Oreochromis niloticus: one gene and its partners. The protein of the gene in region 1 interacts with the protein of each later gene in a pairwise test. Links are inferred from orthologs where the notes say so. Each region holds a gene or a part of one and is shown in the gene's direction. Other genes may lie near its edges. The genes, in order: ppfia1, txlna, ppp2r5d and ptprsa.

Region 1 (7,372 bases):
CCTATCACAACTTCAGACCTATCTAAATGCGAATAACATCTGGGATAAATTCCAATCTGGGTTTACACTGCACCATAGTACAGAAACGGCACTCTTGAGGGTCTTCAATGATCTTCTTTTAATTACTGACTCTGGGTGCCCCGCGGTCTTAGTTTTGTTGGACCTGTCCTCTACTTTTGATCTGGTGGACCATAATATCCTCTTAATGAGGCTTGAACATCTGGTTGGCATTATGGGTATGGCCCTTAGTTGGTTTAAATCCTACTTATCGGAGAAGTCCTTCTCTGTCAACATGGGTATCTACTCCTCTTCCATTGCCCCTGTTACCTGTAGTGTTCCTCAGGGGTCTGTGCTGGGTCCTATGGTGTTTTCTCTATATATGTTACCCCTTGGTCGTATTATTGAAAAGTACAAACTCTCTTATCATTGCTTCGTGGATGACATTCAAATTTATTTTGAATAGACTGAGGATGATACTTCATCGATGCTTCGCTTCTTTGATTGTATAAGTGAGGTTAAAGACTGGCTGCTGAGCAATTCCCTTATGCTAAATGACAAGAAAACGGAAATTGTAATCTTTGACAGTAATACCCCTAGAGCCCATCTAACTGGTGTCCTCGGGCCCTTCGCTGATTTTCTTTCCGATTCCGCAAGTAATTTGGGTGTTTACCTGGATGGCTCCTTTATGTTTGACAAGCATGTGTCCTCTGTTATTAAATCTTGTTTCTATCAGCTTCATTTCATTTCTAAGGCCAAGCCATACTTACCACATGAAAATCTAGAAAAGCTTATCCATGCCTTTGTCACATCCAGGTTAGACTACTGCAACTCCCTATACACTGGGCTTCATTCTGCCCTTCAGATTGCAACTTGTCCAAAATGCCGTGGATTGCCTTCTAACTGGTACTGTAAGGTTTGAGTCTATCACCCCAATTCTCACTGGCCTCCATTGGCTTCCAATTAAATACCGCATTGATTTCAAAATTCTACTGCTTACCTATAAAATCATAAATAATATCGCACCTAGCTACCTTATTGAGCTCCTCAGCGTGTATATTCCCAGTAGAACACTGACATCGTCTGACCAATTGCTCTTGGTGCAACCTAGGTCACGGCTGAAAACCAGAGGTGACCGTGCCTTCGCTTCACTTCGCTTCCTCCCTCATGCTATTCGCGTGTCTGTCTCAAGTCTTCAAGTCTCAATTGAAAACCCATCTTTTTAGTTTAGCCTTCCCGGCTTCCTAGAGCATGCCTTTTAAGTGTACCTTCTTGCCCTCCCCTTTTCCTCTCTTTTGCTTATATTGTTTTATCGATTTTATCTTTAAGTCTTACTTGCTTATCTGCGTACTTGTATGCTTGGTTAATCAATGCCTCCCACCTGCTAGCTTATCTGCTTTGTACTTTGCTACTGTTTTATTGGATTTTGTGAAGCACTTTGGCTACCTCTGGTTTTAAATGTGCTATACAAATAAAGTTGTATTGTATTGTATTGATCAATACAAGTGTAATCAGATTGATAGTTTCTGGGGGGGTTTTCTGTATGTACCGCTGTGGTCATCATAGAGGCAGTCTGGTCTGCCACTGCATTCAAGTATCATAGCACAGAAGAGCCACAGTTTGCTCCTCCTCTCCCCTCTTGTGCTGTGATGTTGTACTATCACGTGACTCAGAAGCACTAGGCAAGCAAGTAAGCATGCTCACACTGAAACATGTTATTTGAATAAAAACATTTAGTGGAATTGAAACAAATATACCAAATATAATATGCTTCAGATTTGATTGAATATAACTACCCTTTTGTGTTAATTGTGAAAGGGATACTGCATGATTACCATATTTAAACTACAAGTACATGTCCTACACACTTGATCATTTTATTGTTTCTGTTCTGGGTTTTAACTAATTAATTCAGATTAAGCCATTTGATGATGTATCCACCTTTATTATTAAAAAGCATGGTATCGGTATTGGTATCTGCCCTGTATTTATTGGATCAGTACCAAATCTTGCAGTCATTGCTACTGACTAGCTTAGCAGGTTCTAACCCTAACTTTTCCAGTGGTGCATCGGTAGTGGACAAATCCCCACAATTTGGAAGACATCCACTATCATACCTATTCCTAAATATTGAATGAATTAGCTGATTTCAGAGCAGTTGCAATTACATCAATTGTAATGAAAACCTTTGAAAAGATCTTAAAAAGTATTATTGTGTCCTCCAATAATAGCAAACTTGATTCTTTGCAATTTGCTTATCAGTCAAGTAAAACTCTTTTTAAAAAAAAAAAAACCACAATTTAATTTTTGTTGTGCTTTTAGAAGCCCCTCGAAAAACCCAGTTCTCATGCATGACTTCTGTTTGCTGACTTCTCCTCTGCTTGTAATAAGATACAGCCTCATATTCTGAGGGAGAGACTGGCCTCCCAGACCAGTTCCCGATGCCGATTTTAAATGTTCTTACTCAAAGGGTCCAACAGGTCCTCGTTAGTGGACAAATCCTGCAGGATTGTGTCGAGCTCTGATTCACCCCAGTGATGTGCTCTGTCACAACTTATTTTTATTATGTACACAAACAGCTGCAGGACTTCTTATGAGAACAGATTTATAGTCAAGTTCTCTGATGACACTGTCCTCTTGTCCTTGCTTTATGGCCCTGTTTTACCTGAATTTGTGAAGTGACTTGATGATAACTATCTGGATTTAAATGTCCATCCATTAATTTTCTTTGTTTGGGAATAGTTCCTTGTGTATTAAAAGTCCCATATATACTTTTAGTACACAAGGAACCAGCAGTCACCCACACTTTGAAAACATCTACAACACCGACAGAAGGAGGATGGAGAACCAGCTTTACCTGTACAGTGTCAGCAGAGACTGGAGGGGTCTCTGGACCATCTTGGACTATAAGGAGTTCTCAGCCTATAAGGGACACAAGTGGTCAAATGAACTGCATCACTTTTTTAATTGGGTTTGATTCATTATCTGCCCCCCTCCCAGGTCTGCTGCCACTGCTACAGCCACAGCCACCACTACCCCATCTCCACCTCAGCATGTCTTCACACTCCCAGTTCATTTCCAGTGTGCTGCCTCTCCCCCTAAGCCATGATCCTCCAATACACAGCCACCCTGTTTCTAACATGTTTCTGACTCTAATGCCCAAGAGGCTCTGCAATACCGCCACCAAAACACTGGGTGGAGGTAGGGAGTATATAGCATTGTTGGCCAATCTTTACTTTTTATTTGTGCTTCCTGTGTTTATTTTAAATAATGGTGACTACAAGGCATGTCATACTACTCCAACTGGAGTTGATACATCTTGAAGAAGAGATACTGATAATGAAGGAATTGCAACTGGAAAACCGAGGGTCTTGAGTTGTCACCTCACCAAGAACACCTTACTGATGTTCTTGTACCCCATTCCAACCTTGTACAGACCTGGAATGGAACAGATTGATTCTGTGGTGTGCAATGAAAATCTCTACATCTCCAGCTCTGCCAACTCCAATTAAGCCTCATGTCTTTTTGTCAGTTTCACCTGTCTCCCTCTTATTCACACACGTAGTCTGTCTTGCATTTACCTGTCAAACTATACATCACAAAAGGACTCACTGCCATATTTTAAACCTCAGACCTGTCAAATTGTTCATTAAAATTAAATTGCATTAAAGTTTTATTAAAATGCATTAAAGTTATAACTCAAACATTTTCTAGTGAGCTTCTGTAAAAAAATAAATTCTCAAAATATCACATCAAAATTGACAAAATAAATGAATACAAAACTTGTTGGGTTAATCCGTCACAAGAGGGCGTAAATGTTCTTTATTGCGAGAGCTTGGTTTATCAGTAACGACTGAATGTGGGCCAAAGAGTGAACTAAAGAAATTATTTGGAAAAAAAACAAAAACGTTTGGCTCTTCGATACCTTCTTCCAAAAGTTACATTTTAAATTATAATGGCTGAATTCGGTTAAGATGACCTCGGGGCCTTTTAAATCAAACTCTTAAATGTTCCTCTTAATCATAGTTACGTTATATTATTATTATTATTTATTATTATTATTATTATTATTATCATCATTATTGGTTCTACAAGCAAAACATAGACAAAAATACAATATTAAATGTTAAATGTAAGTTACATGTGTATTTAAAACATATCAGAATACAAACTATGGTAAAATAGCCTGTTTGATATTAGCCGAACGGTGAGACATCCGAGAACCTTCACAGACATACATCCGAGATATTGTAACCTGTAAATGTAAAGAAATAACAGTATTGTTGATGGAAAAGTCGTGCTTTGTCTCTGTCTTTTCAATACACGACGAGTGTAAGCTTATATCCCTACAGGAACTGAACGTACTGCTACTTCTCCACTTCCTCCTGTTGCCAACCTGGGAAGCGCTCTCTTCCCGTAGACTGGCAGGCTAAGTGCAAGCGACACTTAGCCCACCATTGGCTGTCCCGACTGCCGAAGCTGGCAGGCAGTGGCGACAGGGAAGGACCGGACCAACGGACCTTTTTGGTGGAAATACTGACAGAACGCCGGGAAATCGGGCGGAAACAAAGGGAATATATGTTTTTATAAGCGGTCTGGATTTCGTAAACAGACTGAAACGCTGCTAACGTTGAATGTTAGCTGGAAGTTTCCTAGCTGGTGCCGTGATGTGGTGACGCGACTCCACGGAATCGACGGGAAGCTAACGTTAGCTGATGCTAACGCTACTTGATAAATGAATAATTTTTAACAGAGCTTTTAAGACTCATTTCAGGATTTTAGCATTTTAGATAGTGTAAGAAACTTTTATGATAGATTTTATCATGTTATGTACTTTTATAATAAATAATGTTAATGCTTCAATGACTGCCTGACGTTTTTAAGCTAAAATAGAGCAGCAAACATTAGCTTCCTAGCTGGCTAGTAGCTAACATTGGCTAGTTGTCGACTTTAAACTGTCTTTAAGCCAAAGAGTCCTGTTTCAAATTAGCTAAACCGACTACGGCTGCTTATTTTTTTCACGTCACTTAACTGTATCAGTTAATGTTCACTAGTTATATATGAGTCAAACTTTATATCTGAGGATGGTCGTTCGTTTTGAGATGCAAAAATGAACGCTTCGTTCCAGAATCCAGATATGCAATCACCGAATCACCAGCTTACTTAGTGCTTGTTGGCTAGCGCAGAGTTAGCCAGTCAAACTTGGAATACTGCCCCCTGCTCACTTTATGCGAGTTTCGCTTTGAGGCCTTTTCTGAAATTATCTTTTTTTTTTCCACCAAGAGGACCCTTTCACTGCCTTAATGCATCCCTGCCTCTGAATGGAATTTCTGTTTTGAATGACTCTGGATACTTGTAAAGCTTGACAAGGCTCTAATCCACAGTTGGAGTTAGCTGGACTTGTTGACGTTTACTTCGTCATAACATAACCTGGATTTACGAAGGAACTTGGAGTAATAATATTCTTTGAAGGTGAGAAAGAACTTTAACACGAAACAACTTTAGAAAACAATTGTAGGGTTTAACCTAACTCCCAGACGTATCTGATAGCAGTACAATGGGCAAGCACTATACCGTCGATGCATTTCGGCTTCCAGCCATCCTCTTGATGGGGACCTAGTTCTTCATTAAAAATAATCATTTACAAAATGCAAAATACAAAAATACTTTAAATAGATTTGTAATTACTTTGACAATTGGTGGCCCCCTCAATCGTTTGCTATACCTCATTTACTACCCTGTTAGCCTTTATCTTCGCTCTGCAAAAAAGAAAAAGCTTCGAGAATCGCTCCTCTGCAAGTCAGCCAAAGTCCTCTACTTCCACTTGTCATCCTTTAGTTTTTGATGCATGGTGCAGTAGGTAGGTAGGTAGGGTAGGTAGTGCCCCCCGCCATCTGTCACTACCTTTATAAAGATCCTCAATGTGACCATCCCCCTCTTAAACATGGTTTATCCAGAGGGGCTTGACCTCAATAAAAAGCGTTAGTTTGGATTTTGCGTTTCACTTTGCAAGGGTCTAGTAGGTAGATTTGTTCTAAATAATTGGCATGTATCAAGAATGGTCCGCCTCAGTTATAGGAAAGTGCAGTTAAGTGTTTTTGAGATTTTGGTGTACCTAGCTGCTACGTGTTCCCTATTGGAAGTTGTTGTTCCTTTTAGGTTGGTTAAATCCAACTCACATGATTCCTGCTTGTCTGTCTGGGAGCCTGTCTACAGGACTTGAGCCGCTTGATATGGAGAGCGGCTTTATTACCCAGACCTTCTCAGCTTTTTCGTAAATTTAACTAGAATGGGTTAACGTAATTGTTTTTCTATAGACTACTATCAGCACAAACTAGTTAACCATTACAGTAAGTCAACTAGATTCAACTGATTTTGGTCTTTGTTGTCCCTTTTGTTAGTCAAAAAGCTACTGTGAGGGTTAATTTAAACTATGGAGATTAAATTACCCCTGATGAGGACTTTGAGACTTGCCCACTGTCTAATGTTATATCTCAGTGTGTTAATAATTTTGTTGATATAGGATCTGTGTGGGGGGGTTTTTTTGTTTTGTTTTGTTTTTCTTTGGTGTTCTTCAAAGAAGTTTTAGTATTCAGTTTTAACAAGTTAATATGCTTTTTGACTCTGTAATGTCCTAACAAAATAGCACACAGACCTCTGTTGCATAACACAAGCTCTTTGCCTTAGCATGAATATTGCATATACAGCTTTCTTTCCTGCATAGCTACGCCCAAATACTCATTCTGAAACATGTAAATGACACAGTTGTAACTTTGTTTTTATAAAACTTGGCTAGGATCATAAGCGAAAGAGAGTAATGAAAGTAAAAAGGAAATTATCCATAGCACTTAGTAATTGGTGTTATGACTTCTCCATGAGGGGTGAATTTTTTGCTTTATTGACGTGACAGTGACGGAGGGCCTTGTCTCTCCTGTTTTCTCCTGCTCTTTATTTTTGCAGATGATGTGCGAGGTGATGCCCACCATCAGTGAGGCCGAAGGCCCTGGTGGTGGAAATGGAGGAGGCCGTCGAGGTTCTGGTTCGCCACTTCAATCTGACTCAGAGGGTCACTTTGAGTCGTTGATGGTGTCTATGCTGGAAGAGCGAGATCGTCTTCTTGAGACCCTGAGAGAGACTCAGGAGAATCTGGGCCTGACCCAGAGCAAACTGCATGAAGTTAGCCATGAAAGGGACTCACTACAGAGACAGCTGAACACTGCTTTGCCACAGGTCAGTGAGAGAGACTTTTTTTCTTAAAGGAAAATCCTATTCTTAGTCCAGGTAGATTAATTCTTAAAGAAATTCAGTGTTTGCCATTCTACAGTTTCTGCCTGAGACTAAGCCTTTACTGGAAGAAATGGTACAGAGAGTGGTT
Region 2 (7,553 bases), on another chromosome or scaffold:
GCTGAAAAATTTCCTTGATGTTTAGTTTGTATGACTTTATGTGATTGGCTTGTGTCGACCCGGTCAGAATGACTGACAGATTCCTTCAGGCCGTTTAAACCTTGCCTCTCTTCATTAGAAGCCGCACTAGATGGCATGCTCTCTCACTCCTGAGTTTTCTTTTCTCTTAAATTCAGGCGCTCTTTAAGGAGTTGGAAAAATGTGCAGATTAATCCAGAAGACTGCAATAAAACATTGTCCAAAAAAAAAGAAAATCAGCCACCCCGAGAGGCAAAGGCCCACCTACAGGAAGAGCAGCTCTCACAGGTGACACTCCTTCCACTGGGTGGAGCGAACACAGGCTACTACTTGACATTTTTCTAAGATAAAAACAAAAGAAGTTTAAATAAATCTGGGATTCAGAAATAGTACAATGATTTACATTAAAAGTATTATAATTTAAACTATATGTATGTTCTGATACATTGACAGGGATTCAGATGTAATTCTAATCACTTCTAAGAAGTGGAGAAAAAGCCTCATTAGAACATGTCACACGAAAAAAAAAAAAAAAAATAGGTGGTGAGGATACAAGCTTCTCTTTTTTGTTTTTGCTTTTCTTGATCTTTTTCCTGATCAGGATATTCTGGGCTATATTTTTGGATAAATGTGTTTAAAGTTCCTCGTCAGGCTGCGTGATCAGGAATCTTGTAATCTATCGGGGATTGAACAGAAATCACTAAAAATCACAAATCTGACGTGTCTTCCGTCCTAGGAGCTGTTGGTGTCTTTATCAAAATCTAAAGCAACGTCTACGCTACAAATGTTTACAATGCTTCGTGTTTGTAATAATACTTTTCATATGCCATCACTGACCAGTCGTGCTTCTGCTCTGGTCCTCTCATTTCTTTTACACGTATTTATTTTCTCTATTCTTGTTTATGGTTTTTCATTTGCTCCAAACGACCCATCTTTAAACTGTGACTCGACTTGACTTTTACCGACGGTATGAATGAGCGACGAGAAACTAGTACACTTCAAAACTGAACATGACACACAAACATGAACATGAAGAAAAGATGCATACAGGAAATGGCAACAATATAAAAAATGTAAAGAAATCATAGAGTTAAAAAAAAACTGTTCAGTGGAAATATTGTACAAATCCAATAAAGTTATGTTGCAACCCTTTAATGAGTTTTTCTTCCTCAGTGTTCTTTCATGTTGGAATGTTGACGGTGATATTTAATGTGAAACATAATTTGTTTAGATTTATAATTATTGAAATGTGGAAACATTAATGTAAATATGCCATAGAAGGCAAAAACAGTTGGTATAATTCTTACAAGCCTGATGTTCAGGATTGGGTGTCACCAGTTGTATTAAACACAGAACTCTCGTAGACAAACTTTCTTTTAATGTCTCAAAGGAAATTTTTCTTCAGGAGTCGTTCTCCAGACTTACTGAAGGACATTCAAAGCTATTGTTCTTTTACCTGTCAAGCTGATCGCACAATGACAGGCCAGTCATGACTGATCGTGTTCAACAGTGTTTTGACTTTTTTCCCTCTCTCTTCTATGCTCGTATGCTTTTACTGCATTGGTAGTGTGTTTGGGATTATTCTCATGCGGAGAAATAAAGCTGTTGCCAGTCAGACACTTTCCAGATGGAGACTGCATGCTGGATCAAAATCATATTTTCTGCATTCAGAATTTCGCCAGTTTTTCTTCCTCAACCATGTTTTATAGATGGCTGTAGGCACTTACTGTTGTGCTCTGCTCACATAAAATAAATTAAAATTTGGATTAATTGCTCCAGCACACCTGTTGCCACTGACTTTACAGTCCAGTTCTTGTGTAATTTGGCTCAGCCTCCTTAAGACTGGCTTTTTGGAAGCCATTCTTCCACTCAGACCATTTCTGATGAGGCTTCAGTGAACAGCAGATGGATCCCTCAGGTCCTGTGTAAGGTATACATGACTTTCAGACACTCTTCACCTATTGTAGGTGGTTTTTTAGGCCTTAAGATGCTACAACCCATGGGTTGACAGTTTGTCAAATGGTAAATATTTGAAGTCTTCAGGAAAGACTCACTCAGAGGCTGGTCTTTTACATTCGGTCCATTTTCATCATCTTTTTCCTGCCGTTGCATTTATCTGCCCATCAGGGACTCTCAACCATTAACTGTGCTGTTTATATTGCTCTGTTAACCATGACAATGGGACTAGAGCTCTGTAGTAGCCACCAGGTAGTCCAGCTTTCATGCAAACATTGCTGCTGTTTAGTTTTCCATCTAGAGTGAAAGCAGAGCTGTATGTTTCAGGTTTTTAGAAATCCTTCAGTCAGAGCATAGCTCGCTACTTTCCATCTAAAGATGTTGTACTAACTTCAAACTCAGTTGAACTCAGTTTGGACACAGAAATGGCTAACAAGGTCATACTAACATATGGATTTTTTTAAATATACAGTCTATGTCTTTCTTTCTTTTTATTTGAATAAAAAATACTTGGAATCCTGTAGATCCCAACAACTCATGAAGTAGGAATTTCAGGAAGAAGCTACTGTATCAACACCAACACCACACATGCTGATGGAGGAAGGAGAAAAGAGAATGAAAATGAACAAGCTTGGTAGGGCAGTGTGACAGAAAGCAGCACAAATGGAAACAGATCAGTTAAACATCAAACACATCATTAGCATTAAAAGGATTTGCACATACAGCACAGGCAGGAACATACTTAAATTTACCGCAGTTATATTTATACAAATGATTGTGGTCAGTAAAAAATCCAGAATTTCTCATTGCAGGATTATGGTGCAGTATGATGGGGCTTTCAGTCATTTATGTGTACCAGCCCATTATGATATAAAAAGAAACAAAATGTCAGACAAGGTTTTCAAACATAGAAACAAAAAGCATTTTAATTGATTAAGCAATTAGCTGCAGCGGGAGACAGAAATGAGCAAAAACTGAAAGAAAGGCTGCAAAATCAGCGGGAGGAGGAAAAGATGACAATACAGATGCAAGTTGGGATAAATAAAGTTAGCAGGATGGAACCAGTTGTGCCAAAAAGTGATTGGTGGTAAAATTTTTAAAAAAAAGTGAAAGAAAACCTAAACAGTCAGACAACGTGGTGACAGTGGGAAGTAAAAACTCCCTTTTAACAGGAAGAAACCTTCAGCAGATCAGCTGGGGTTTTATTGTAAAAACTGGGTGGAAAATGATTGAACAAATCTATTAATATATGGTGAGTTTTGATCTAAGTTCAGTCTGTCTGTTACTCCCAAAAAGTACACAGTGGTGTTTGATCCCAATGCAACTTTCAATAAAGTTGGTTTAAAATGATATGTTGGCCTATGCTCTGCCAAACATGTGGCAAACACATGTTTGGCAGAATGACATCAAGTCATTTTGAGCCCGAGAGGACATTCCTGTCACAAGGTAGAAGCTGCAATTAGTTTTTGGCAAAGTGGCTTTGCTTGGTAAAGCATCTGACTGACATTAAAATGTATTTTCCAGAGAGATCTGGCAAAGAGAGTAGCAAACACTGTGACCAAAAAGGACTGGATTGGTTATAATGAATTTAAAGATTTAAAGATACAGTTCATTTCTTTATTTTATATATAACCCCTTCATGAATCATGTTGACACCTCTATTTAAAATTATAAGCAAAGGTACTACACATAGAAAACTTATAGAAACATCAGAAATTGCTTTTTGGACACATCTGTAAAAGCGTTTTACACCCTGAACTAAACCGTACACCAGGAATGTCAAACTCATTCTATTTTCATCTTAAGTGGGACAAACCAGTGAAAATCCCCCTTCTGTACACGAATTGAACTACTATTTAATCAATTGGACATCTTAATAAAAATAATATGTGTATCTGAATATCTGTTTTTCAGTGATAAAGAGATGCTACTGTAATCAGTCTTTCAGTATGACTCTTTGGGCTTAAATTATAAGAAGTAAATGTATAAAATTACAAAAAACATCAGTTGTAGCTCAGATGGTCCAGAAACAGAAAGTTTCTGGTAATTCACAGAACATGACCTTTTTTGTGGACCCTTTGTAAAAAAAAAAAATTACAATTTCTATGGTCAATACCTGTTATTTAACTAATTTGCTGTAGTTAAAATAGCCATGAGGAAGATCTTTATCGGTAAGAAAAGCTGCGAAATGTATTAAATTATATTTATAAGTCCAAAAATTCATGTCTTTCATCACATTTTCCAAATGCACCCAGTGGGTCTTTGTCCGGCTAATCCTGGACCTTATGTTTGACACCCCTGACGTGCACTGTTTAAAATAGGGAAACATAAAACAGGCAAGAGTTACAACTGTGGATAGGAGAAAACAATAGAACACATGCTATGCTATAAGAAATATAGGAAGAAATAACTCAATTTATTGAAAAGCTCACGATGAAAATGTTATCAGTAAATGTGTTATCACGCCATATTTAAGCATTAGTTAATTTCAGCATTAGTTAATTTGACTGAGGGGCTGCTTTGTAACGTTGTAATTGACCCTCCTGATCAGCGTGTGGCGATAAAGCACCAACAAGTTGTTTGCCGAGCGCCAATAAACCTCAAAGAAGAAGAAGAACCCAAAGTTATTACCGGAAGTGAGGTTTTTTTTTTTCTGTCTCACGCTGTTAAGGAAACCTACAGACACATTAGCAATTTCCTCCTTGACTCTAAAGGTAAACAGTTGTATATTACCTGTAAACAACATGTATCATTTATAAGCAAGTAGCAGTGTAGTGTGCCTTCTTGTTTTAGTAGTTTGTGCCCGATATATACGAGCTCACAGTGGCTACCTGGCAGTTGTGTAAGCTAGTTTAGCTGCTTCTGGCGGCTTCTGCTAGCTAACGCAAAGTGAAAGCTAATGGGGACAGGGCACGGTAGAAAAGAAAGCAGCTAAAAAAAGTTACTCTTTAATGTTTGGAGGATAGAAATGGATATGAATTTCCAGGCTAAAGTTCAGGTTTCACCAAACCAATCGTGCGGAGCTTGTCTTAAAACCAAAACTTAAAAACAAGTCCATCAGGAAACGTTACTGCACTGCGCAGGAGCACAGCTAGCAGGAGTAACTACAGGTTTATTTCGCTTGTGGTTCGGCTGCTGCCACTTTGTTTGTGTCCCCATACAGCCGAGGCTTTATTAGGCTAGGAAAGAGAAACTTTATTACGTTTAATGTTCTATGACTCATTTGCGCTGACGATTAAGTGTTGCTCAATAAATAAGTCTACTTGCTGTTATTACATTCCATCCCTCTGAGCTAACCATGGCAGGTTTTTCTCCTTGTAACAGGTAACAAGAGATGAAAAAACAAGATACCGAAGAGTCCACCACTCAGGCTGCTGAGAATGCTCCACCCACAGCTGCAGCAGCAGGGACAGAGTCACCTGCAGCTGCAAAGGACAGCTTGGAAAGCAACAGCCCCAAAGAGTCTGAACCACAGACACCACAGACGGATACACCGCCACAGGGCGAGGAGGGGGCAGGGGGAGGTAAACTTTGAATTCATGTCAATCCCAGCTGGACTAGATTATATAGTAGGCTAAAACCTTCCTATCATCAGTCTTTGTGACTCAAGTTTGTCATCTTGTTTCCCAGTTGTGCATGCGTATGTCTACCAAGCAACCAAGATGTAGGAGTAGAGCTTTTTTCTCTATTTCACTGATTAACCTGCCAGCCAGAAGGGTACATGTACCTGTTTAGTCCCTGTGAGAGGAGGAGGCACACATACACATTTTTTTTCAGTTGACTGTTGTAGTTTAGAAATTCCTGCTCTAAAATCTTTCGTTTTTGAAAATTATTCATCTGCTGTCTACCTAATTGGCCTGGGAGTTGGTGGTGATAGTTCTTATTCTGATTTGAAGCAAGGAAGCTTGCTAATAGCAACATATGATCCAGTGCTTTAGTTAGTGTGTCCTTCCCACTACAAGCTGTGGGGGGGTTGCACTCTCCGGCCTGCTTTAGACTTCTGTGGGGAATCTTTGTAGAGCCTAAGATGTAACCTATGTAAGTGCATTTATGCTGGTGCTGATGCATTATTTGTTAATTAACATAGGGCCTTGTCCCGGTGTTTCACATGCAGTGCCTCCTGGGTCCTCGCTTGTTGCTGTGGTCAATTTTTTTTCAGGGAAGTTTTCCCTCTTAGTGTACATTCCTTCACGTCCATTCCGATAGTTTCAGCAGTCTCCCTCCAGGAATTTTCTGACATTTGTGAGTCCTGATATTGATGCTAGGATAATTATTTTTTTTATACTGAGGAAAAGTTATCCCCTCACTGATAAATTCAAATACTGCTGTGAAAAACAACAGTCGCCTCAAGGTACTTTATATTGTAAGGTAGACCCTACAATAGACCCTCTGCAGACAAACAGCATTTAGCAGCAGTATGACAAAGTATACAATCAAAAAGCTCAGTGCCTCTTTCATTTTCTGCATCTCAGTTGTCAAGCTCCAGCTATGAAGTGCTTCTGCATCAGTTTCAGTGCCATGCTAGATGCACGCATCATAAGCAGTGTTAGCAGATACGGACAATGATAGTCTACTGGCAGAATTTACTAATAGCAGGTTCCGGCTCCATATTATAATGCTGGCACCACTAATGTTTGCAGACTCTACACTGCTTAGAATAGTTTGCTTGCTGTTGTTATTATTATTAGTTGTTTCATTTTTCTTATTCTTAAGCCTTTAATTTGCTAAGTGAGATCCAGCATGGCCAAAGTGACAGTTAGGAAGTAGAAACGCTGACCATGTGATCATCTGTGATGATAACGCCAGTCACAGGCCTTCAGATGTGCGTCGTGGTTGAGGACGGTGCCTAAAAGCATCTCAAAATCACAAATCAATTAAAGATTCTCATTTATTTTCAAGATATTGTAAATAAACTGTCTAAACTTCTAAACTGTTGCTGAGCTGATAATCTAGGTGTTTTTTTTTTGGTTTTTTTTTTGTTTTAAAGGAGTATTTCTGACATGGTCTTGTAGGGAGTGAGCTTCATATTTCTCTCGTTATATTTGTCGAATTCTACATTGTCTGTTTTTAAAAATTTTTTTTTTATTATGAACTGAAAAACCAAACTGCAACATATTTGACTTTAGAAGAAGAAAAGCAGCTAGAGTCATTTTTTTCCCCTCCATTCTGTGTAACTGCAGAGGCTCCGTTGTCTCAGTGTGACATGGCAGAGGAGCTGAGCCGGCAGCTGGAGGACATCCTTAGCACCTACTGTCGGGAAAGCATTTCAGACGACGCCAGCGCCTTAGCTAACGGCCAGTCACACAGCCCAGAGCTCAATGGCCTGACCAATGAGAGGGAAGATGACAAGCCAGAGGAAAGCAAAGTCAATGGTGGTGACAGCGGTGTGGGAAAGCAGCAGAAGAAAACTCAGGAGAAGAAAAAAGTGAAGGGTCTAGGTAAGAGGGGGAAGTGTGTTCAGTGTTTTGGCCAGATTTATAGGAATAAGTGGGAGAAATTAGCGTGAGCGCCCTGCACAAGGAGTGATCCAAGTGGAAAGATTGTGAGTAATCAACTAAAAATGCAAATTTATGACTGCA
Region 3 (7,765 bases), on another chromosome or scaffold:
CTGATGCAGATATTGTGGTTTATACTCTAAACTACTTGGAGTGCAGATAACCACCGAGTATAAGTTATGAACAGCTGCTGGATGTAAGAAATGTACACATCAATAATTATGATGCATTAGTAACATGTATATGTTTGTAATGTGGAGTATGTTTGTTTCACGTCTGTGCTGTTACAAGTTTTGCTTCAGTAAAAGTCTAAAAACTTTCTTCCCACACAGACTGTGTTTAAGCTGCAGCTCCACGTGTCTCACAATCGCACTGCACATCTTATTTCTGATTGGTGTAACAGGTATATGTCACGCCTGATGGTTTTCAGGTGTGTCCTGGATCCTGGCTCTTTCTGCTTGGAGTAAGGTAAGAGGATGGGAACCTGTACAGAAGTGCGCGTGCATGCCAGAAAAACACGATGAAGTCAATTATGGTCAAAGCCAGTAAATTATTATGTTTTTAAAGAGTCACAACTATGTTTTACTTTTTGTTTGTAGTAATTTTAAACATATTTGAATGATTTTTATTCCAAATTAAAATGTGAATTTTCCACTTTTTTCTCTCTAAATGTTAGTTTACCATTTTAATGTTTTGTGGTCATTCGATTTGCTCGTTTATAAGCTCAAAAAGGGGCTTTAATGCATTTGATTTTTTTCCCTTTCAAGTTTCTGGTTAATCTTAAAAAACTTTTCTATGATTTTGATGTTTCTCTATGTTTTTAATGATTTATTTATTCTTTGCATTGTTTGCCTGAATATAAAAAATCAGTTTTGTATTTTTATTTTTTTATTAAATTCTTTGATGTTGTTTTGATGATCAAACCTGCGATCGGCTGATTGGCCAATGGTCTGTCAGCTATTTGTTCTGTGCTGGACAAATAAAGTTTGGTTGAAGTGAAGGACCACTGCTTTTGTTAGTTTTTTTTTTTCCTGTCTCTAAACAACATAAATTAAAAATAAGAAGTTGAAATTAGTCTGCGAGCTCTGTCAGTCTGATGCTAACTGAAAACATCTGGAGGAACATCTGTCCTCATCGGCGATCTGATTGGTTGCTGAAGCAGATGTGCAGGTTCAGAGAAGCTTGTTGAGATGAAAATATGAATTCACATCTGTGGGAGAGATGAACAGCAGTATGAACGCGTGAATAAAATTCCTTTGATCGCTAATTTGAATCCATAAACCAAGTTTTCTTTGTATGATGAAATGTAGTTTCTAATGTTCTGTGTTTAAGAAGAGCTTGTTGTATAAATGTTAATGAGTCATTCCACGAAAATGGTTAAAATTGGACTTGGATGTTTTCACATTTTTTACCAAAATGTATTATTTATATGTATATCCCACATCATTAAGGATATATTTAACTATCAGAAAAAGGCATTTTCCCATCTCAGGCATTAGTTTTCTTTTATTATTGATCATATTTTCAAGATGTAGTGACTGCAATTCTTCAATCCCGTTATGGACACTTTGGAGGCTCTCTGTTATTATCATAAAATGTATTTCTAAAGAAATCAATATGTTTACAGTAATTAGATGTCCCCATACTAATTCAATAATTTTACACAGAAAAATGACATAAAATCACACATTTTTACTCTCTTAAATCCTGAAATGTAACTAATGAGTGAAAGCAATCTTGTCATTTTTCATCAAAAATTTAGTTTAAGTAAGAATTGTAATCAAAATCAATGATCGTATGATAGCACTCAGTATTTTAGACAGAAATCCCCAAACATTAAATTATTTTTTCAACATTTTAAGAAAATAATATATGAAAATGTAGGTGTGATGGGGTTGAGACTAGCAGGGTTGAAGAGACAGCTTTACATATAAACAGTTGTTTACTCTTAAATTCAATGTATAGGGCTTTCCATTAGCATTATATCTCACTTTGTAACCATAGGAAGGACACCAGATACAAATTGCAGTAGAATTAAGTTTTATTAATCTAAAGTAAAAACAACCACAACAGCATATTAACAACTAACAAACATTGTAAAGTGAATTGCTCAAATGTAACATAATGCGTGTGTGTGTGTGTGTGTGTGTGTGTGTGTGAGTGAAAGTGGGTGGGTGTGTGTGTGTCTAGGCATAAGAGAGCCTCATCAGGTGTGCCAAAAGTCACCTCATCCTTGCTCCGATAACATACAATTAAACTTGATGAACTGGTTGAACCAATAACAATAATAATCAGTTAACGATTTCAGTGTGTCTGTCTGTATCAGTGCCTGTGTCTGTGTCCATGTCAGAGTGTTTTTGCATGTGTGTGCCTGCATCAGTGTGTGTGTCTGTATATATGCATGAATGTGCCTTTTGTTTCATGAATTCATCTTGTGAGTCGGTTCCACACCTCTTTCAAGACTTCCACATGGCGCCTTGTCACAGCCCGTGGGGGTGGAATGAGTTCAAGGACATCATCAGACAGGTACCAGAGGATATCATCCTGATGCGGCCAACATGATGCATGCATTTGACCTGGACTTGTATTGTTTGTATGTTTAGACTGATGCCTGGATACAAATCATCGTCATATCTGAGAATACACCATTTACCAATCAGCTCTGGACTTTCCCACTGGATTTCTTTTTCTGGATTCCCCCCACTACCTGTCTGTGATACAGCTGTTTCTACCTTCTGGCCAAAAGTGAAACACTTGGTGTTGAAGCACTTGCAGTTAAACTGCTTCCGTGTTGTGCACATGCAGCTTACATCACGAACCATCCGTTCTCCTGGAGCTACAGTAACGACCTGGTGAATTCTCATGGTTCCAGGAACAGCTGGTATCTGCTTTGGCATTTTCTCCATTGCTTCCTCAACATCTTCACTTTTCACAAAGAACAGTTTCACACTTGTGTTTGTTTCAGAAAAGGCCCTGAATAACTCTTCTGCATCTGGGATGTCATGCCCCTTTGCTACCATCATGTCAGCTGCTCTTTTTAAGGCTCCCCCAACACCATCTGGTGCTCCTTTTCCATGACTAGCCTCGAAACAATTCCAAGAACCAGCCTTGAATCCTCTTCTGTCCAGTTCTGTAGTGAAAAGGTAGAAGTTTCTTCGTTGTTTGTATCGCGTACAGGGTCCGTCACTTAAAAAGTGCAGCACAGACACTTGTGGATGTTGGCCTTGAAGGTAATCTAGCACAGGATTTAGGTGCTGCCATATTGCTGGAGGGCCTTTATGTCTACTGGGGGAGATGGTGCTAAAGCACAGAGGCTCTGAGAGTCCACCAACATACAACACACCAGTATGAAGGGTGGCCTGCTGATGTGAAGCCCCAAAGTGGACCACCTGAATTTGAGAACTGTATTTACAGCTGTAGTTTTCTGAGAAGTCAACATGTATCAAAGTCTCCTCCCCTGACATGTTGTTCTTCAGCTCACGGCAGAAGGCATACTGCTGCTTGATATTAAAGTCATGCATTTTAAATTTCTTTACAAAGCTCTGGAAGAGCTCAACGAGGTCCTCTTGTGTGCCCTCCACGGATTTCTTGACTGTCACCTTGACAGTTGCCTCCATCTCTCACGCTCACTCTGCAGGTTTCTCTCCCTTCTTTCAGGATCAGCTTTAAGGCGTTCACGATACTTCCTTTGCCTTTCTGCTGCTGTTGTTGGTGCCATCTTACTCGCATCCTTAACATGGAACATGAATCACATTCAGCATGCATGCAGTATAAGAATGGTGATTGAATATAATAATAATTAATTTAAATAATTGGATAACTTAACAACCAAAGTATTAAAATCTCAACCCCATCACAATCTCACAACCCCGTTACAATCAAAAACATGACAGGGTTGAGTGTGACTGGGTTGAGATTTTTGCACAAACTGCCCGCTGCTCAATGTAGTGAATACCAGACAGAGAGCACATGGCATGCATGAAATTCAAAATCACCATATATTCATGAACTAACAAAAAACTTTTTCATAAGTAATAGTTTTCTATCTTTTTTTCATGTTACAGTGTTGAGTCATTGAGGTTGACGACCACAATATCACAAGATAAATGACTAAAATAAAGGAAAAGAATGGAGCAACTTGCCTGTCTCTGTGGTCCTGTTGTCCAAAAGACTTCAGTGATGTCACTTCCTGATGTATATGGAATTCTGGGTCACACCATTGTATTTATGGCGGTGGGATCATTCATGTAACGGGGTTGAGGGGTTAGTCAGGTACAGGAATAATTGTGATTTTAATGAATAATTAACAATTAAATTTGAAAAAAAACAAATATTAACAGCAAAAAAGCACAAATAGATGTTTAGGTTGATACCAAAATTTATTGACTTTTTAAATATTTTTATTTGGTATTTTCAAAGTAAACTTTCATCAAGGCCATGAGGGACATGACAAAATAGGTGGTGTCAAATGAAAAAACTGTATTATTTCCCATAAAAAGATAAAAATTAGTTCAATTTTTTTACACTGTATTAAAGGGTACATTTCAATATATATGTAAAGCTGTTTAAATAGAAAGTTTGGTGACCCAATAGATGAAATACACCATAAGAGACGAGAGGGACTCAAATTGTGCCATTTTCATGGAATGACTCTAATACTTGAAAAATATGGAGATGAAAAAATAATAAATTTAAAATGTAAAATAAAAAAGAACACCCAAACTTGGAAAACATGAAAATGAAAGAAATGAAAAAATGAATAAATGACATAAGTTTTTTTTTTGTTTGTTTTTTTTGTTTTAAAGAAGGAATATTACAAGTAAAACTGCCTGCAGCACACAGCTGAAAACATCTGGAGCTGCTTAATTCAAACATGTTGCTGCCTCCATCCATCGACCCATCATCCATCATCCATCATCCTCCGCTGATGACGGTGGCAGCAGGTTGAGCAGGGACTCCAGATCTTCTCCTCAGCGACACCTCTGGGTCCACCTGTGGAATTTGAGGCGCTCCCAGACCAGAAGAGGGGGTTCGGGGTCTCCCCTGAGGTCTTCCCCCGGTTAGGCATGTTGCTGCAACAAATTCATGCTGAAGAATCAAAAGTATGATTTCAGGTGCTGAGATGTGTTCTTGGGTTCTGATTCTGTGAGTGGGTGCAGCTGGAACTTTGAGCTTCGGGCTCCTGTCTGTGTGATTATAACATGTTGCTGCCGCTGCATCGGGGACAGGCGGGGGACTCGGGTGGTTCTGGCGATTCTCTGGCTCGCTCCGGTCCGCGGGGCTCGGTATCATCAGGTTGAAGGTGTTTTGTTGCTGGGGAAGACTCCAGTTCTTCCTCACCTTCCTGCAGCCTCACCCTCGCCGTTATACTCAAACTCAGCCAATCAGAAAAATCACTCCACGTATCACTAGGCAGACGTCCAGGCCGGCAGCCAATCGGATTGGGCGGCTCGGGAAAGGTCGCAGGGAGCTGAGACAGACCGAGTGACAGCGTCTGAGTCCCGGGGAGGAACATCAGGGAATCTCCGTGGAAAAGCCCCGCAACGCGGTCAAGATGCCGAACAAAACCAAGAAAGAAAAGGTAAGATCCGCGTCACTGGCGTGCCCGGGGCATTTTTCCACTGAGATTCGGTGTGGCGGGTGTTTTTTCTGCTGCTGGAGACTTCAGACGTTTTATTTCACCGAGCTAATGGCTAGCTCACCTGCTAGCTGTTAGCTCGGGCCCAGCTAGCAGAGGACCGCTAAGCTAACGGCTAGCCGCGAGTCTGTGCTCGGCGCCCGCCGCGGAGACGCTTCGTTTAACCGCACACCTGCTGAGTGTTTGAGCGCACACTTAGCAGGGATATTAGCGTGTAGCTGGCCACCGTGATTAGCCGTGCTCTGTTGCCGGAGCTCCGGAAAGAGTCGCTGACTGTGCCTGAATTATTGATGCAGGGCTCGGCTGAAGGAGAGGGTCTGAGGCGCTAGAAGCGGTTAGCCGTTAACTGAGACTACAGGATGACCGGTAGATGTCCCGCTGGATGCTGTGATTCCTAGGCTCACAGCGCAGTCTGAGCTCACCTCACACACCCAGAGAAATACCGGATTAAAGCGATTTGTTTAATGATGCAGCGCTCAGAGCTGATCAATCATTGATCGTAATGATCAGATAACTGATCAGTTTATAACCCAGCACTTATGTTCGGTTCTGCTGATTGTTATCGATTATTTGTTTAGTCTGTAAACTTGAACGGAGCAGCAAGAAAGCCAAAAGAGAAAAACTGCTGATAAGTAACGGCCACAGTCATTGATTATTGATGATCTTCTCTCTGTGAGTAATTGATTAATCGGCTGTTTCCGATGTCCGAAATTGTATTTTTCGGCGACTTTAAACTGAAAATAATTTTACAAAAGCAGGTTTGAAGTCACATTTATGTAATGAAAACGACTCGCTCAATAAATCACACAAAAAAATTAATACATTTTAAACATGAGCGAGAAAAGTATTAAAGAATAAAATAAAAACACAAACACAGCAACGAGTATTTAAAACGCGTTTAAACGATCAAATATTTTTATTCCATTTAAATATCTTTAAAAAAATATTCTTTGCAAAAATGAGAGAACTGCAAAATACAGCAAAAAACAAGACTTAAATTAAACCTAAAAATATTAATAAAGTTTCAAAATGAGATCAAAAATAACATCTGACCCCAAAATGAGTAAATTCAGTTAAAACAAAAAACAGAAAAATTAAAGCTAAAACATATAAAATTAACATTTAAAGTAAAAAAAAGAAAAGATGAAAACAGAAAAGTGTATGTATAAAAATATAAATATATTTATAAGGAAAAACCCCCATAAAACAATTGGAAACATAGAAGATCAAAATCAGAATTTGACATCCAAAACATAAATATACAGCTTCAAAATCAGAAACATGTAAATATATAAAAACAAATAAAAACTCTAAAATACACAAAACCTAATGAAAAATAAAAATACTTTTTTAAAAAAATAAATAAATATTAGAAGACTAAAAAATGGAAAATCATTTAAAAAGATGATGATAATAAATCAAACTTTGGCAGAGATCAGCTACTTTTAAGCTGAAAGGGTTTGGCTCGGTGCTGATTTCCTGTCTTCGGGTTTGATCCCGTGTGCTGGTGACACGCCTGCAGACGTCCTCACGCTGTGGCGATGCGCACATGGCTGTTGTGATAAACGCGGCTGAGATCGCGTGTTAAATATGTTAGAATGAGAATGAAGGATCGCTCAGCAGGTGAGAGGGTTCACCTGTGGGAGCACACCTCAAAGAGCAGAGGGAGCTTTGAGCTCACGCAGCCTTTATTGTGAAAGTCTATCTAGAATGATTTTGTGAAGTTGGAAAACTAAAGTAAAAATATAGAGGAGCTGTTGTGATTTCACTGTCAGTGTGCTAAAGTTCCCACCTCCCTGATGACCTGTGATACGTGCGCTCCATACAGTAAGACGTAAAAAGACTGAAAGTCATAAAAACAGATCGAAACACGGCACAGTGAGACGAGTAACTCGCCCTGGAACCTGAATTAGGATCAAAAAGTCAAAATAAGAACTGTGAAAGTGCGATGCCCGTGCTGCTGCTCAGGTTCACTCGGAGGAGAAACGCTGGTCGGTGTTCATCGAGTCTTAGCGTACACACCGGAAACTCTGATTGGCCAGCATTTAGAGCTGGGCGATAAAACGATAACGATATGTATTGCGAAATAACTTTTTCTCGATAGAAAAATTAAACTATTGCGATAGGCCTCATCTCTCTTGTCCTCTTAAAAAAAAAAAAAAAGAAAAAAAAAAAAAGAACAGCCAATCCAAATTAAGTAGTGCAGAGCCGAACCAATCACAGCCGCAGCGTCACGTCAC
Region 4 (7,664 bases), on another chromosome or scaffold:
AAAGCTGACAGTAATAGAGAAAGACAAAAAAGAAGAATCCTTTTATGAGGATGCAGGGAGACTCACCTGTCCCCCAACAATGCCACCTATCAAGTGTCCGGAACTGTTTCAGCCTTCCTCGGATAAATAGCAACAGAAAATTCTGTTATTTAGTTTGGTTGTATGACAGTGAATATCAGTTTCACTGGGATAATTTCATTTTGTTATGAGCTCCTTCTGCTGTTTAGGTAACATTATTCCATTGAACTCAAAGCAGATTGGAGTTTGCCACATAGTGTAAAACTGATGTTATGGTCTTTTTTTAATACTTTAAAGAGTGAAAAGTTAATTGACTCGAGGCAAAATTCTGCTCTTTTAACTGAGAGAAACATTTATATTAAAACCCAAATAGAATTCAGCTATAGTCTTTTCATGGCTGATGATGCAACCCTTATAAAGCTACTGTTGCTGAGACACAGTGGTGTGACTGATGTCTATTAATACTTTGTAGAAGCTGATTTTTTTTTTATTATTACTGTGGTTCTCTCCGACTCATCCACCTCAAAGACATGGCAAGGTTACAACAGACAGTATGCCAGGAGAATATTCCCTTAACTGCTTTAAAGATTGGTCTCGCCGAGGTAAATTGAACGCACGGAAACATAGCAAATTAAGTTTTAGTAGCGGCCTCAACAGATATCTGCATTTGCAAATTTTGCTTCTTTTCTTATTTCATGATACACTTCTTTACTGCAGTGAAGAGCAGGAGAATCATGTGAGAACAAAGCAAACTGAGTCACCAAGACATGAATATTCAAATGCATGCTGTATATTTGGATCATCATCAGCTCACTTCCAAGTGCTTGCCCCATTGGCCCCATTGGCTTTTGGCTCACAGTGTCTGGTGTGAGCAGGCGTGCAAGCAGATGTTATCAAAGGAACGTCCAATTATCTAAAGTAAAAGCAAAGATAAGAAAAAGACGATCAAATGATCATTCCGAGGAACTTAAATGCTTTAGCTTGGCTTAAAGGTCACACGGTCATGTCCAGCTAAGCGGGTAGAGAAAGGCTTCCATACTTCCTAGATTAGGAGTCTGATCCCCACTGGGCCCACAAATTATATTTTTTTTATTTATTTACTGATGGATTGATTGATTTTTTTTTCCTTGCCTCTATGTTAGCCAGATGGTGCAGAAATTAGTTGAGGACTGCCATCTTTAAAAGGCCTTAAGTGCACGTGTGCATGCACACTCTCTAGTCTAGTCTTTACAAAACCATGCTAATTTTATGACTGTTAAAATTTATATCACATAAGCTCAATAAGACAGTTAATGTGCTTTGCCTAGGCAACCGGTCACTTTTTGTTCTACTTTAAATATTTTGAATAGACAGTAAAATCCAAACGAGTGGCTGTGAGTACAATGAATCCATCAGGTCGAGGAACTGAGATACCAAACGGTATGTAATTTCTTGTAGCACCCAGCAGCAAACACAGGGTGCATACAGAGGATCCAGGTGCAAATTATGTTTGATATTAAATGGTCCGGACAGTCCTGAAGAAAGCACTCTGTCTTCAGGTGAAATAATGCTATTTGATTATTCTTCAAGCACAGAAGCAAACACCAACGCGCACCAACTCTAGTCAACATATCATGGTCTGAGAAACACATAATCAGTCGGTATTATATACCAGCTGTAGGTGGTATTTTTACACAACATGTGTTGCCTAGAACACAACTCAGAAAGAACACCAAAATAAAAGTGTGGCCCCCATGCACACCATGGGCTGGGCAGAAGTGTAAGAACCCAACTTTACATTTTATCTGTGAAGTCGGTTAATGTGCGGCTTGTATAAGGGATGAAAAAGCATGTACATTGTTACAAGATCAGAGCGCTTATTATTATTATAATTATTAATTAATTATGCAGTTGTAAACTATAAGCATTGATTGAACTTCCACTGAACAGCAGATGTATATAATGTTCAAATTAGGAAACATTGTAGTTTTCACAGTAGTTTCTAACTATTAGGGATACTCTGAGCCCACTGAAAGCCAAAGGAACTTCATTGTTCACTTGTACAGGTGTAGAGGCTCTTACTGCAGTCTTAAAGACCAGTAGTAAAAAGACTAGAATGCAACAGAAGGCAGGCTGAGCAGAGAGGTTGCATTTGAGGTGTAGCAGCGAGGGCAGGTGTTTGAGAGGGATGGTGCAATCCCAGAGAAGGACACTTTTTCCCCCCTGTACAGAAATGAGCCAAACTACTGCTATAAGTCTGTAGTGTGTGGAGAAGAATCTTGGATGTGCCAGGTATGGAAATGTGATTACATGCAGTCCACCAAAAGAAAAAAACCCTAAGAAAAACAATGGTGCATAGCCAGACCGTGGTGACGGTAATTGTAGGAAGACTGCTGGGTCACTGAAAAGCAGGAATTGAGTGACAATTGTTCACCCCAAAGAGGAAAACAGAGTTAAAAAATAATTAAAGTTCAAGAAAGCAGCATGAGAAGTGCAGACAGTGGCCCAAGTGGACAGTTCTCATTGTGTTAAACACTCAGTTTCACTTCACTAGAAAGAACTTCTTTGTCTTCTAAGAGACTGACAACAAAGCAAATGAGAATAGTCCACATAGCAGTTGTTCCACATATTTTTCGACACTGTCACAGTACACAGCTACAACATGTAGCTGTGTATTTCTACTTCTATCTGGCTTGATGCAGTGTATCCAGCAGCGGTTTGATCACCACAGGGAATAATGCATTGCATCTTTTGTCCTTTGTAGACTGAAAAATGGGGATCGGAGTAAGTCTTTGGTGAGGATGAAGTGCACTGAAGGAGGATGAATGCCCAAATTTTTCCTGGCTTTGGATAGCTATGCATTTCAGTCCTCTTTCATATTTTATTTGCATTGTATACAGGTGTATTAACAGATGGAAACAATCTTTCTTATTCTTTATAATAAAAGTTTAACAGGCCATAAACATAATTGTATAACTGATATACATACACTTGAAAAGAGGGCAATAATTCTGTTATCAGTGGTTTCCTATTCTCCTTTTTCTGAGAAACTGAGAATGTTAAAACATCTTCAGTGTACTTATTAGTATGTTGTGAACATGTAGCTAGGGGGAATCAAAAAGGTCAAGAATTAGCCCTTAGCATCAAACAGACTGGTACTCATCAACTGGCAAGAAGAGCGCTCATGGTTCTTCAGGTTTTCTTGGGTTTTCCAACTACTCTCCTGAGTGCTGAAACAAAATATATATATATAAAATCCACTGGTGACAACAAGCGAGAGTGTGTCTATCACCACAATACAGAAAACAGCATGATAGGAAAGATGGTCTGATAGAAGGCAGCAATGTATTGAACACAAAACCTGTGTTTTCAAGTGTCCATCAACTGCCATTTCTTGGCCACTTGAGGCTAAGTGCCTCCTTCAAGGAGCAACTCCATGCATTAGGAGAAGTATGAGTGGCTGGGCTCCAGGAGGCTAAATTTAAGGTTGTCCCTGTAAGAGCATCTGTGGCACTAGACAAAGTTGAGGAAGGCAGACTTGTCACTTAAAACATCTGATTAACTAAAACCCTTAACTAAATGCCCTCACGGGCCTTATCATTCTGTTTTTTGTTCTTTTTCTGAGGGGGTTTAGCAGTCAGCAGCAAAGTGCAGAAAATACCTCATTGTCTTCCTACCTATTGTGAAGGTTTTGCAGTAAATCCAAACAAAAATAATTTTATAATATTAATGAATCACACACTGGCTTATGTATAATACATTTCTTAAGTCAGTATAATACATTTCTTAAGTCACACCTTGCTCTTGTAGTTGCAGTTTTGTATTTTGCCCTTACATCTTCTAGAGAGGAAATTCATATCATATGGAGATAACTTATTCTTAACTGTGTTTTAGAAGTTTAAAAACATGTGTGTACTAGAACACAATTTATCCACAGTCTCGTTTAAATAAATGGGTAAATAACAGTCCAGTGAGATGGATTGTTTGCATTCGCAGTGTAATATTTGATACACACACGAGCTTATGCTTTAAGTCTGATACGAAGAGATGATGCTTTATCTTTAAGATACCCCTGCTGCACCAAGTAGGGGGCGGTTGCCATGACACAGTGCGCTGTAGGCATTGGCCTGTTTCATGCTAACTTGCCTTCCCTCTTATCGCGGGTAAAGGGATCCTGGTGATGCTACTGGATGAAACCTTTAGTAAGGCGGGGGAAAACTGTATGACTTCATCATAGCGAGTGGAGCACTGCAAAAACCTGCATTCTAAAACAAATTCTTCTTACGCATAAAGTCCCGTTTTTTTCTCCACTGCTCAAGGAAAGGGTTTAGGGAATACATGGAAAAGCTGTAATATAATTCTGAATTATCTTGAGTTAAAATAACTTCTCCTCAAAATAGGTCATTGTAAAAATTTAGATTTTTCCTTTTTTTTAAAGCAGTGTTCATGTATAGTCGCCAATGAGTAAAATATTAATTAAATAAACACACCAACAAAGGTAGTGATAATAAAATTAGAATGTTAAAGTAGCTTTATAAAAGAAGGGGGCAATGGGAGGAGGGGGAAGAGAAGATAGAGAGAGCCTTCAGTTGAGGGGTGGCTGGAGAGGGAGGGCCGGACGCATGACATCATTCCCTCAGCTTCTCTGCACGGACAGAGCTCTGGTTTCTCCAAGTGCGCACGGCGGCTGCTGCTGAGGGAACGACTCCTCCTGCCGTACCCAGGCGCGTCCTGAGCATCCTGCGCTCTTGGGGTGGATTTTAAAATCACTACTTAAGCCGGCAGGGGAACCCGTGTACGGTTCCTCACTGGACCTGCCGCGGGGACGCACAGATTTAACACAAACCCGGGGATTATTGTTTGTTTTAAACATGAAGATGTGATGGGTTTATGAGCTGAGAGAGAGCGAGAGAGAGAGAGAAAAAAAATAAAAGCTGGAACTCCGACGCCGACAAAAGGTAGGCAGACTTCTCAGCCTGTTTTCCTGAACAGTGTTCGGCTACTTTTCTTCCACTAGACCTTGGTTTTTATGTCATGGTTTTATCTGTGTGTAAAAGAAAGGGGGGGAAGCATCAGGCATGAGGTCCGGGAGCGCACAGATCTCTTCTGTCGTCTTAACACCTGCACAGAGACTAAGGCAAGTCCCCAAAGAAAGCGTTTCAGAATACTGCAAGAAAGCACGTTCAAGCTGAAACGGGGCTTAGCGACGGAACGAGATGCTCGAAAGTCCCGGACTCAGCGGGAGATTCGACTCTGCCCTCGCAAAGGTGCTGCTATAGTGGCAGAGCATCTCTGCCGCTTGAATAACGGGGATGCGTTCACGAACGACGGTCGCAACAGGCACTGCTCCCCTTTTCTGTTCTGTTTTCCCACTCACTTAATTACAAAATGAAAAAAGAAGCCTGGGTGGTTCTGCAGCAGAAAGGCGAAGCAAGATTTCTTTAAGGTCTTCTTTTACTCCTCTTTACGCACCATAGACCTTCTTTGGAACATTTTACATATTTCTTAATCATCTGTTTTTTTCGGGCGGGGGTGTGTCTCTCTCGCTCTCTCTCTTTCTGTCTTTCTCTCTCGTGTGTGTGTGTGTGTGTGTGTGTGTGTGTTGGGAGGGGGTTCTCCATCTAGCAAGTGCATCTCCACAGGGGGGTGTTTCATTGACCAAGTCAATCGTGACAGGCGTTTCGTTAGAATCCGGCTATATAAGCATGCCCTCAGACCAGGACACATCCAGCTCTTCTCGTAGGCATCGACCGTAAAAATGTTATTTTCGATCATTTCTGTCCCCTGTATCTCTTTCCCCTTTCTCTCTGTGGATCTCTGGTTTGATCAATATTCAAGCCTGAGCTGTAAATGTTGGACTTTGAGAGCGGGGTTTGGTCTGCGCCCCTGGACGGGCTTTTGCTTTTGCGCATCACGTTGCCTCTGGCTTGTAGAACGTATTTGGGCTCATTTCGAGGTGCGCCACTCGAGCTTTCCACAGAGCCACCGAGGTGGAGTCAGCACAGCAATGACACTGACTTTGTCTAACTGCCAGTAACGTCCTTGCTGAAGCTGGAAACTCCGAAACGATTGGAATTTGCTCCCGTCTGTAGATCCTGTCGCTCCCGCTGACATTTGACGTGAAAGACCTTGTGTATAGCCTCTGAAGACATATATAAAAATAAAAAAGCTGGTTTTACACACACACACACACACACACACACACATATATACATATATATATATTTTCTTAAATAGATTTTCTAAATTAAACAGTCCCCCGGACACGGACTAGAAACTGAGTACCCATTTTTTTAAGTTTCATATGATTTGGATGATTCCTCTCATAGTTTAATATTTTTGTAAAAGCAAAGCAAACACATCAGGTATCATTCGGATTCATTCTTATTATTATTCATGAGAGCAGAGATAGTCTTTTTAGGCGATTTCTTATTTCTAACAGCGTGTTTTTATTTGGAGTTTGGTTTTGCCATATTTGCCACAAAACAATTTAGTCTATCATTTTCACGAAGTTGTGCATTTCCCATCTTGTTCCATCTCTTTGTTTCGATCGCAATGAGCGCATCGCGGGTCTGCAAAGCTCATAAAAGCCAGAGGAGAGAACAATATCTCGCCCGCGCCCGGGTTGTTAAAAGAAAATGGCTTTATTCATTTTTCTCTGTACCAGTGGTAACTTAGTTATAGCTTTTTTATGGTGCCTGGAAATGGCTCACAGGCTCGCGGTGCTATGTAATGTAATCAAATTTATGATGTTGCTGTGTATTACAATTCCCTGTTATGCTCCGTCACATGAGAAATTTGGAGTGACTCCCGCCCCCCTCGCCCCATCCTCCACACGGGCAAAACACAATGCCCAGGAACATCAGAACAAGTCAGGTTAACAGCCACCAGTGGGCTGAAGAAGAAGAAGCATACACCCCTCGCCCCCCACTGAAAATAGCCCACGATACTTCCTAAATTATCTTCTGACTTATGCTACCACAAATTTATTCAAGCAACCAACCACATGCCTCTCGAGTTTTACATTTTTCACATTTCATGCACATCTTTTTTTTTCCAGTAACAGTCAAGAGTTTGATTTCTGCAAGGAAGATTTAGAAATATGCAGAGCTGATTTCGTAATGATGAAACAAATGATGTGATGCAGCTTAGCACACAGAGCAAGACATGCACACATACAGATTTGTATTCCCTCATCTTTTTTTAGGCAGAACAGCACCCTTGGGATTTATTTGGCTATTATTTTTATGATTTTAATATTTCAGTCTAATTTCTAATTCAGATCCATATTTTAGAACAATGTGTCGCTATGTTTCTGTCCTCTTCTTAATATTAAGATGCAGTGGTACCCAATGATCACTATCGCAGAGCACAGTCTTTCCTGTCTGACAGGCCTGTGGAAGAACAGCCTTTCCTTCATACTTAATTGGAGAACACATTTTATGCAGTACTTCAGCATCCACTGTGTGTTCATGGAGCAGTCAAATACCCATGTTAGACATGCAAAAGAGGTCATTCTAACATACAGATCAAGAATCAAAGATCTGAATAAAGTCAGTGAGGACTGTTCTTTAACAAATAATAGTGTTGCTGGATGTCTTGATACTCCTCTCGTTCAAGATCTTAGTTGCTTGGGTGGCTGAGGTGCAAGGTGAAACCCTCATTGA

Evidence for each region.
Region 2: the proteins of ppfia1 (region 1) and txlna interact in binary tests that used the Homo sapiens proteins (3 or more experiments, as listed by UniProt). The link is inferred for Oreochromis niloticus from reciprocal best matches to the Homo sapiens genes PPFIA1 and TXLNA.
Region 3: the proteins of ppfia1 (region 1) and ppp2r5d interact in binary tests that used the Homo sapiens proteins (3 or more experiments, as listed by UniProt). The link is inferred for Oreochromis niloticus from reciprocal best matches to the Homo sapiens genes PPFIA1 and PPP2R5D.
Region 4: the proteins of ppfia1 (region 1) and ptprsa interact in a two-hybrid assay, tested with the Homo sapiens proteins (2 studies listed by BioGRID). The link is inferred for Oreochromis niloticus from reciprocal best matches to the Homo sapiens genes PPFIA1 and PTPRS.

What each region holds. Positions count from the first base shown.
Region 1 is NC_031965.2:3,504,129-3,511,500, forward strand, and holds the start of ppfia1 (liprin-alpha-1), read left to right. Parts: upstream 1-4,366; 5' UTR 4,367-5,469; intron 5,470-6,957; coding exon 6,958-7,227; intron 7,228-7,372. UniProt on the Homo sapiens protein: May regulate the disassembly of focal adhesions. May localize receptor-like tyrosine phosphatases type 2A at specific sites on the plasma membrane, possibly regulating their interaction with the extracellular environment and their association with substrates.
Region 2 is NC_031985.2:30,555,162-30,562,714, reverse strand, and holds the start of txlna (alpha-taxilin), read left to right. Parts: upstream 1-4,548; 5' UTR 4,549-4,688; intron 4,689-5,298; 5' UTR 5,299-5,308; coding exon 5,309-5,498; intron 5,499-7,154; coding exon 7,155-7,412; intron 7,413-7,553. UniProt on the Homo sapiens protein: May be involved in intracellular vesicle traffic and potentially in calcium-dependent exocytosis in neuroendocrine cells.
Region 3 is NC_031978.2:2,409,095-2,416,859, forward strand, and holds the start of ppp2r5d (serine/threonine-protein phosphatase 2A 56 kDa regulatory subunit delta isoform), read left to right. Parts: upstream 1-4,765; 5' UTR 4,766-5,441; coding exon 5,442-5,468; intron 5,469-7,765. UniProt on the Homo sapiens protein: The B regulatory subunit might modulate substrate selectivity and catalytic activity, and might also direct the localization of the catalytic enzyme to a particular subcellular compartment.
Region 4 is NC_031980.2:33,544,396-33,552,059, forward strand, and holds the start of ptprsa (receptor-type tyrosine-protein phosphatase S), read left to right. Parts: upstream 1-4,646; 5' UTR 4,647-4,955; intron 4,956-7,664. UniProt on the Homo sapiens protein: Cell surface receptor that binds to glycosaminoglycans, including chondroitin sulfate proteoglycans and heparan sulfate proteoglycan.